2 linked regions of the Sus scrofa genome follow. The protein of the gene in region 1 interacts with the protein of each later gene in a pairwise test. Links are inferred from orthologs where the notes say so. Each region holds a gene or a part of one and is shown on either strand. Other genes may lie near its edges. The genes, in order: TBL1XR1 and ARL2.

What was found.
Region 2: the proteins of TBL1XR1 (region 1) and ARL2 interact in binary tests that used the Homo sapiens proteins (3 or more experiments, as listed by UniProt). The two-hybrid records come from large-scale screens. The link is inferred for Sus scrofa from reciprocal best matches to the Homo sapiens genes TBL1XR1 and ARL2.

Annotation. Positions count from the first base shown.
Region 1 is NC_010455.5:115,338,082-115,341,899, reverse strand, and holds part of TBL1XR1 (F-box-like/WD repeat-containing protein TBL1XR1), read left to right. Parts: intron 1-345; coding exon 346-487; intron 488-3,458; coding exon 3,459-3,522; intron 3,523-3,616; coding exon 3,617-3,714; intron 3,715-3,818. UniProt on the Homo sapiens protein: F-box-like protein involved in the recruitment of the ubiquitin/19S proteasome complex to nuclear receptor-regulated transcription units. Plays an essential role in transcription activation mediated by nuclear receptors.
Region 2 is NC_010444.4:7,157,411-7,160,996, reverse strand, and holds the end of ARL2 (ADP-ribosylation factor-like protein 2), read left to right. Parts: intron 1-574; coding exon 575-655; intron 656-1,762; exon of another isoform or gene 1,763-2,148; intron 2,149-2,572; coding exon 2,573-2,707; 3' UTR 2,708-3,034; downstream 3,035-3,586. UniProt on the Homo sapiens protein: Small GTP-binding protein which cycles between an inactive GDP-bound and an active GTP-bound form, and the rate of cycling is regulated by guanine nucleotide exchange factors (GEF) and GTPase-activating proteins (GAP).

The sequences.
Region 1 (3,818 bases):
TGAAACTAAAATGGATTTCTAAAAGTATCTTGCTGAATTATTGTATATGTTATAAATACATTCCTTATATTTTCAGGGTTTTGTTGTTGCTTATTTATGGTCATTTTGCCTCTGTACCTCTTTATTTATTCATAATGTAATCTTAGATGCTTTAATTAAGCTAGTGCTTGGTGGCCCCCAAAGTGGAGACTGAGAAAAATGTTGGAAATGGAAATCTCTGATAGTCTAGTTTTTTTTTTTTTTTTTTTTTTTTGCCTTATTAATAATAGGATGTAAATATGTTGCCTTGATTCTGGAATACTTGAGAATATCATGAGGATTTAAAATATATTGCATACTTTATAGGTCTGGAGACTCAACAGCAAGAATATGGAATCTTAGTGAAAATAGCACTAGTGGCTCCACACAGTTAGTACTTAGACATTGTATACGAGAAGGAGGGCAAGATGTCCCAAGCAACAAGGATGTGACATCTCTAGATTGGAATGTGAGTATTACTGTATTGTCCATGATGGATCTAGTTATTAATATACTGAACTTCTCTGAGCCTCAGACTTAAGACAGGGTATGTCTGTTTGTTCAGTTACTTTTTGGATTTCACTGACTAGTAAGAACAACAAACTAGGAGTCCCCACCTCTCTAATGTGTCAAAAACAAAGACTGCTCAAGCAAGCAGGCCAAAGTTCATCTTCCAGCTCCTCAGTTTATCTAGCTGCAGAACCTTTGCATATAACTGGTCTATCACTCTGTGCTTCACTTTCCTTACATGTAAAGTATTAATGTATGTATTAATGGTCCCACATAAATGAAGTAAAAATGAAAATCAGTAACAAGCACATAGTAAATTCTTAACTACTAAGCCTTTTGCTGGAGGTATAAGGGAAATCTGTACAATAAAAACATATTCTTCTTTCTCTTATTTAGCTGAGAACTGATAAAAACTTCTTTGCCAGCTGTCTTTTACTTTTACTGAATCATTATAAAGTTATAATTTTGATGTCCTTCCCAGACTATCACCCCACTCCATCTTTAGTCATGTACATCTATTGGAATATAGGAGACCTTAGCATGCAGTTGGCAATGAAGTTTTCATCAGGAACTGTTTGTCTAGATGTCTTCCAAGCTGCATTCTAGCTGTATGAATCTTAACATTCTCTAATTCTATATATTATTCAGAATCTTTCTAGGATAACTTGACTACTCTGATTTACTAGAAAGTTTTATTTCATTATTGATAAAGCTTTATCCTTTCAGTTTCAGATATATGATTTTTTTTCTTTTAAGAGCTGCAGCTGTGGCATATGGAAGTTCCCAGTCTAGGGGTCAAATTGGAGCTGCAGATCCAGGCTGCATCTGCAACCTACACCACAGCCCACCGCAATGCCAGATCCTTTAACCTACTGAGCGAGGCCTGGGGTCGAACCTGCATCCTGAGGGATTCTAGTTGGGTTTATTACCGTTGAGCCACAGCAGGAACTCCTCAAATACATGATTAACAGCTTTGTTTGCAGTCCCATTATTAATTTGCAGGAAATCACCATTTTTAAAGTTTCTGTATCTTTCTCTTTATCCCATGTTGCCTTTTTCTTCCTTGTAACTTTACATCAGTTTCTTAAACACCACCCCCCACCCCAGTTCTGAGAAGCCTTTCAGACACCAGTGTTACTAAGAATTTTTAGGGTCAGCTGTCCTTTCCTTAGCAAGTGGACATCTTCTCCTTCTCTGGCCTCTGTTTAACAACTTTGTGGGGCTTTCCAAAGGATTTTCCAAATCTTATTCCAAGAAATGAGCTCTATCTTTAAACATGATTACTCTATGAAATTCTTCCAGAACTCATAGGTAAGATTTTTTAATATTCTTTTCTAAATTTCCAGCAATGTGTTTATTCTTCCCCTGTATAAATTTGAGAATTCTAGAAATGAAAAGAAGTTTAGCACATTTCAGTTATTACTTGGTCGAAGGGTCAGAACTAAGAATTGTCTTCTTAATATGGTACCTAACTATATCATAGATTAAAGGCCTTCTGTCTTTCTTAATCTGTTTGTCTTGGAGGCCATGTTAATTAAATGAAGTTTACTGATTACACTGAAAAGAATGGTTAATAAATGGTATGTTGAACTTGGTGGTTCTGAACTGCAAGTTAAAAGTTTTTTAAAGTGTGGACTTTTGAAGATTTATTTTCACTACAAGCTTAAATCTTCCACTAAAAGGGGAATATATTACTGTTGATTAATGGCTCTTTTCCATGACTAAAGCAAGAGCCTGTGAAATATCTGATCTTTAAAGTGTTCTTTTCCTACTTTAGTGGTCCATGATCTTAAAACATTTGGGGACCATTTTAGAAGGAAACTTTCCATTGTTCCGAGTCTGAAATTAAGATTTTGCTGTTGGCTTCAGCATTGCTGCTTCTTCCTTAGGGCCTTTTCAAATCCTAGCAAATCTCAGTCTACAACCCATAGAACCAACATTCGTTTGCCACTTACCTGTACAGGTAAATGACTTGAGGTCTGAAAAAGGTGACTGTGTTTTCAATACACTTACTGGAAAGTATCAAAAAGTACAGAGTAAGGCAGGCTTGCATTCTCTCTCTCTCTCTCTCTCTCTCTCTCTCTAATAATGTTTACTCATCCGGGCAATAGTCTGTTTTGTGTATTCTGTCACTTGTACTTCCGTAGAATAAGTTAAGTGTGTCCTTGTGTTGTACCATTAATCAAGTAAGGCACATGTAAGGGAATAAGGGAATATAGGATTAGAGAAATTGGTATAGATTTCTCCTCATAGTAGAGTAGTTCCAGGCAACTGTACTTACTTCATTAACTATAAAGTCAGTCTACACTCTTTTCTGGCTCTTTTTCTTGTGTTGCTGTTTTTATTGTAAGGATTTCATATTGGGAAATAATTAAGAAAGGAAAGAAACATTCAGTGATATTTAAGTATCTGATCATCTGAAACAACAATATTATTTGGAACACACACAGACATACAGACACATAGTTTAGACAATAAAAGATTTAGAGGGAGGTCTTTATAAAAACTTCTAATCGTAATGAAATATTTTGAAAGGGTTCTCTCTACTTTTCCTGAATCATTATAAAGTTATGATTTTGATGTCCTTCCTAATCCATCACCCCACCCCCATCTTTAGTCACGTGCACCTATGGGAATGTAGTAAACTTTAGCATGCACAAGAGTGATGTTGATCCTGCACCAGAGCAGTTGCTGCCATTCTTGAGATTTTGACATGAGGCTCACATCATGACTAAATGCTGACAAAATTCTACAGCAATGAAGGGTTTTCTGTAGGCCTTTCATGGCTCTTCCAAGTAGGCAAAGCTGAAGGTTTTGAAGCAGAGAATGTCACAGATCAGCTGTACCTGGGATTTAAACATGAAATATTCTGATAACAATTAAATGTCCTTTCTGGATTTTTTAATTGAAGAAGTATGTTTCTCTTACAGAGTGAAGGTACACTTCTAGCAACTGGTTCCTATGATGGATTTGCCAGAATATGGACTAAAGATGGTAAATGAAGCACTTTTTCTTTTCATTTGCTATTAGTGTTGATCTAAGTTATACAGTTTAAAGTAATTTTAATGTTTTTCCTTTTGAATATTAGGTAACCTTGCTAGCACCTTGGGGCAGCATAAAGGTCCTATATTTGCATTAAAGTGGAATAAGAAAGGAAATTTCATCCTAAGTGCTGGAGTAGACAAGGTAAAAAGAATATTAAACTAACTTCTATAAAGGTTAATTTGTTATGGAGTTCCCGTTGTGGCTCAGTGGTTAACGAATCAGACTAGGAACCATGAGGTTGCAGG
Region 2 (3,586 bases), on another chromosome or scaffold:
GGATCCTAGTCGGGTTCTTAACCCACTGAGCCACAATGGCAACTCCTCGAGGCTCTTTTTAAGGCTGTATCCACCACCCATGTGGAGGGACTCCCAGTCCAAACACATATGGAAATAACTGGAATCACAGGCAGAGAGTGAGGCTTGTCAGGGTAATGGGACCGTTTGGAGAGCTGTGTGAACTTGGAAGAGGGAAGGTCATTTCCAACAGACCCCAGAGCCCCTGGGACAGTCGCATTCTTCATGCACCTCAGGTCATCAGAGCGGAGCAGGCTAGACCTGGAGGGCTCTGGAGCGTCTGTCCGTCACCCCCTCCCTGTTTACAGAAGAGGGTCTGAGGCTCGGAGGAGAGCAGTGCCCACTGGGTGGTGACTGGGCTGGAACCAAGGGCCTAGCCCAGCCTGGGGCTCCCTCCACCCCGTAAATGGCTGGACACAAAGGCCATCTCCCCCACCCCCACCCCGCCTGTGTCTTTCCCACTGCTATGGGACCTTGCCCTGGGTGAACAGTGGAGGGGCCAGGCTGCCCTCTGAAGCCCCCCCACACACACACCCCTCTATTTCTCTTTCCCCAGCGCCTGGCTGGTGCCACCCTCCTCATCTTTGCCAACAAGCAGGACCTGCCCGGAGCACTGTCCTCTAAGGCGATTCGCGAGGTGAGTGCAGGCCTTGGAGGAAGGAAGGGGCATGCATTTCCTTGTTAATTTAAGAAGCATTTGTTGGGAGTTCCCCGGCAGCTCAGCAGGTTGAGGATCAAGCGTTGTCACTGATGTGACTCTGGTTATGGGTATGGCGAGGGTGGGTTCGATCCCTGTCCTGAGAACTTCCACATGCCACAGGTGCAGCCAATAAGTAAATAAGTAAATAAATGAATAAGCATGTATTAGCCGTGCCGTGTGGCAGGACCTACTCAGGGTATTGGGGAGTCAGTGATTAGTAAGAGAGTTGAGCCCACAGCCCAGGGGCAGGCAGACCTGAAAATAGATTATTCCACAAGGGAACAGTAGCTTCCACGTGCTAGGCTGTGCACGGATTAACTCATTTAGTTCGCACAGCAACCTCACAAGGTAGGAACTATTACATCATTCTACACACAGTGAGGCAGGCTTAGAAAGGTAACTGGCCCAGGGTCACAGGGTAAGCAGACAAGCCAGGATTTAAACACAGGCCGGTGTGACTCCAGATTGTATCTTAACTCTCTCTCTTTACTTTTTTTAAATGTCTTTGAGTCACTTTTATTTGTTTTTTATTTTTGTCTTTTTTTTTTTTTTTTGCTTCTGCGGCATATGGAGGTTCCCAGGCTAGGGGTCTAATCGGAGCTGTAGCCGCCGGCCTATGCCACAACCACAGCAACGCACGATCCAAGCCACCTCTGCAACCTACACCACAGCTCACGGCAACGCCAGATCCTTAACCCACTGAGCAAGGGCAGGGATCGAACCCGCAACCTCATGGCTCCTAGTCAGATTTGTTAACCACTGAGCCACAACGGGAACTCCTATTTGTTTTTTATTTTTATATTTTGTCTTTTTAGGGCCGCACCCGTGGCATATGGAGTTTTCCCAGGCTAGGGGTCGAATCAGAGCTGTAGCCGCTGGTCTACACCACAGCCACAGCTACTCAGGATCTGAGCCGAGCCTTCGACCTACACCACAGCTCATAGTGACACCAGATCCTTAACCCACTGAGCGAGGCCAGAGATTGAACCTGCATCCTCATGGATGCTAGTCAGATTCGTTGCCACTGAACCAGGATGGGAACTCTTTTTTTTTTTTTTTTTTTTTGACAAAGCAAAAAGCTTTATTGGGAAGAGGCTCCCTGGGCAGAGAACAGTAGGGTAAGGGAATCGGATTTGCTGCCATGTGGCTCAAAGCCTCAGGTTTTATGGTAATGAGGTTAGTGTCTGGGTTGTCTCTGGCCAGTCATCTTGTTTGGCCCATAATTTGGTCTGAGCTGGGGTCCTTTTCTGGTGGCACATGCATCCCTCAGCCAAGATGGATTCCAGCGCCAAGGATCCTGGGAGGTTGGTCACCTCCTTCCTTCTCTCGGCCCCTCCCAAATTCTCCTGGTTAGTATTTGGCAGCACGTGTTCCTTCTTGGGACCTCCCATTGTCAGAGTGCATCTTAAGTCTGATTGTAGACTGGAAGGCTAGAACGAGAAAGAGTGGGGTTAGAAACTGGGTTCTGCCACTTACTAGCTGTGTGACTTTAGGAGGTTGCTTAACCTCTCTGAAGTTTCCTCCTCAGTAAAATGGCCAGTACAATCCCTGGCTCATGGGGCCTTGGGGGGGAATGGGTGAGAGGATACTGTAGGGCCCAGAGCACCACATCGGGAGCCCTTGTTGCCGTGCTGGTCTGGCTGTCGTGTACAGAGAGCTCAGGTGCTCTGGACGGTGGAGCGGAAGCGGGGTGCGGGGGTGTGTGTGACACATCTTCACCAGGGGCCAGGGGAAGCCTCCCACAGCAGGCCCTGGAGGGAGGTGTGGATTTCCCCTGGGCCAGGAGGGGAAAGGGGCTGAGGGGGGTCGGGCCCTGTGGACACCGGGGCCCTCTGTCACCTTCCTCCCTTCTAGGCCCTGGAGCTGGACTCCATCCGCAGCCACCACTGGTGCATCCAGGGCTGCAGTGCCGTCACCGGGGAGAACCTGTTGCCTGGCATCGACTGGCTCCTGGATGACATCTCCAGCCGCATCTTCATGGCCGACTGAGCCACTCCAGATGCCCCCTCACCTCACGGTCCAGGCGCCCCCACCAGGCCCTCGCCAGGCACCATCCACGCGGGCATGGGAGTCAGCCAGCCCCACTAACACCCCTGCCCCACTCCATAACCTGCTGCTGCTACTGCTGCCCACTGCTGCTCCGGGGCCAGCCGGCTCCCGCCCTGGCTGTCACCCTGGCTCCTAACTTGGCCTGCGGCAGCAGCAACTATACCAAGAAGAGAGGGCTGGGGCTGGGAGGGGGCTGCGTCTGCTGCTGTCAAGGCTGTGGGCCTCGTCTTTTGCTCAGCTGTGAGAATAAAGTGTTCCTCGCCCCCATTCCTGGCTGAGTCATTTGTTGATTCAACAACCCTAGAGACCGCCTGGAGTTCATTGGCCAGCAGAGGACAGAAAAGGTAATTGCAGTCCGAGGTGAACTCGCTGTATGAAAGGGACTGCAGAGAGTTAGAAAAGTGCAGGACAGGGCTGCTGGGAGACGGGGTGAGGGGGGAGCAGGGAGGCGGGGAGCGGGGGGGACGGACTCCGATGCAGGAAGGAGGAGCAGGCATCAAGTAGAGCAAGCTAACGAAGAGCAGAGCTGCGAAGGGGCCTTCCCTCAAGGCTCAAGGGCATTTCTGAAGCAGGAACCAGACTGGGAGAGCATGGGAACCAGGGGGACCCCAGGACCCCCATCCAGGTGGCAGAGCAGATGGAAGTTTTCACAGGGCCCCCTGCTGTGGTCCTGCCAGTGGTGCTTTCTCTGCAGGGTTCCCTCTGAAGATTTGTCACTTGCCATCACACTGAAGAACAGCCCCAAACAGGACAGATTCTCAGTGTCCCCATTCATAAAGCAACTGAGCCTCCGGGAGGAGACGTGACTTACCCAAAACT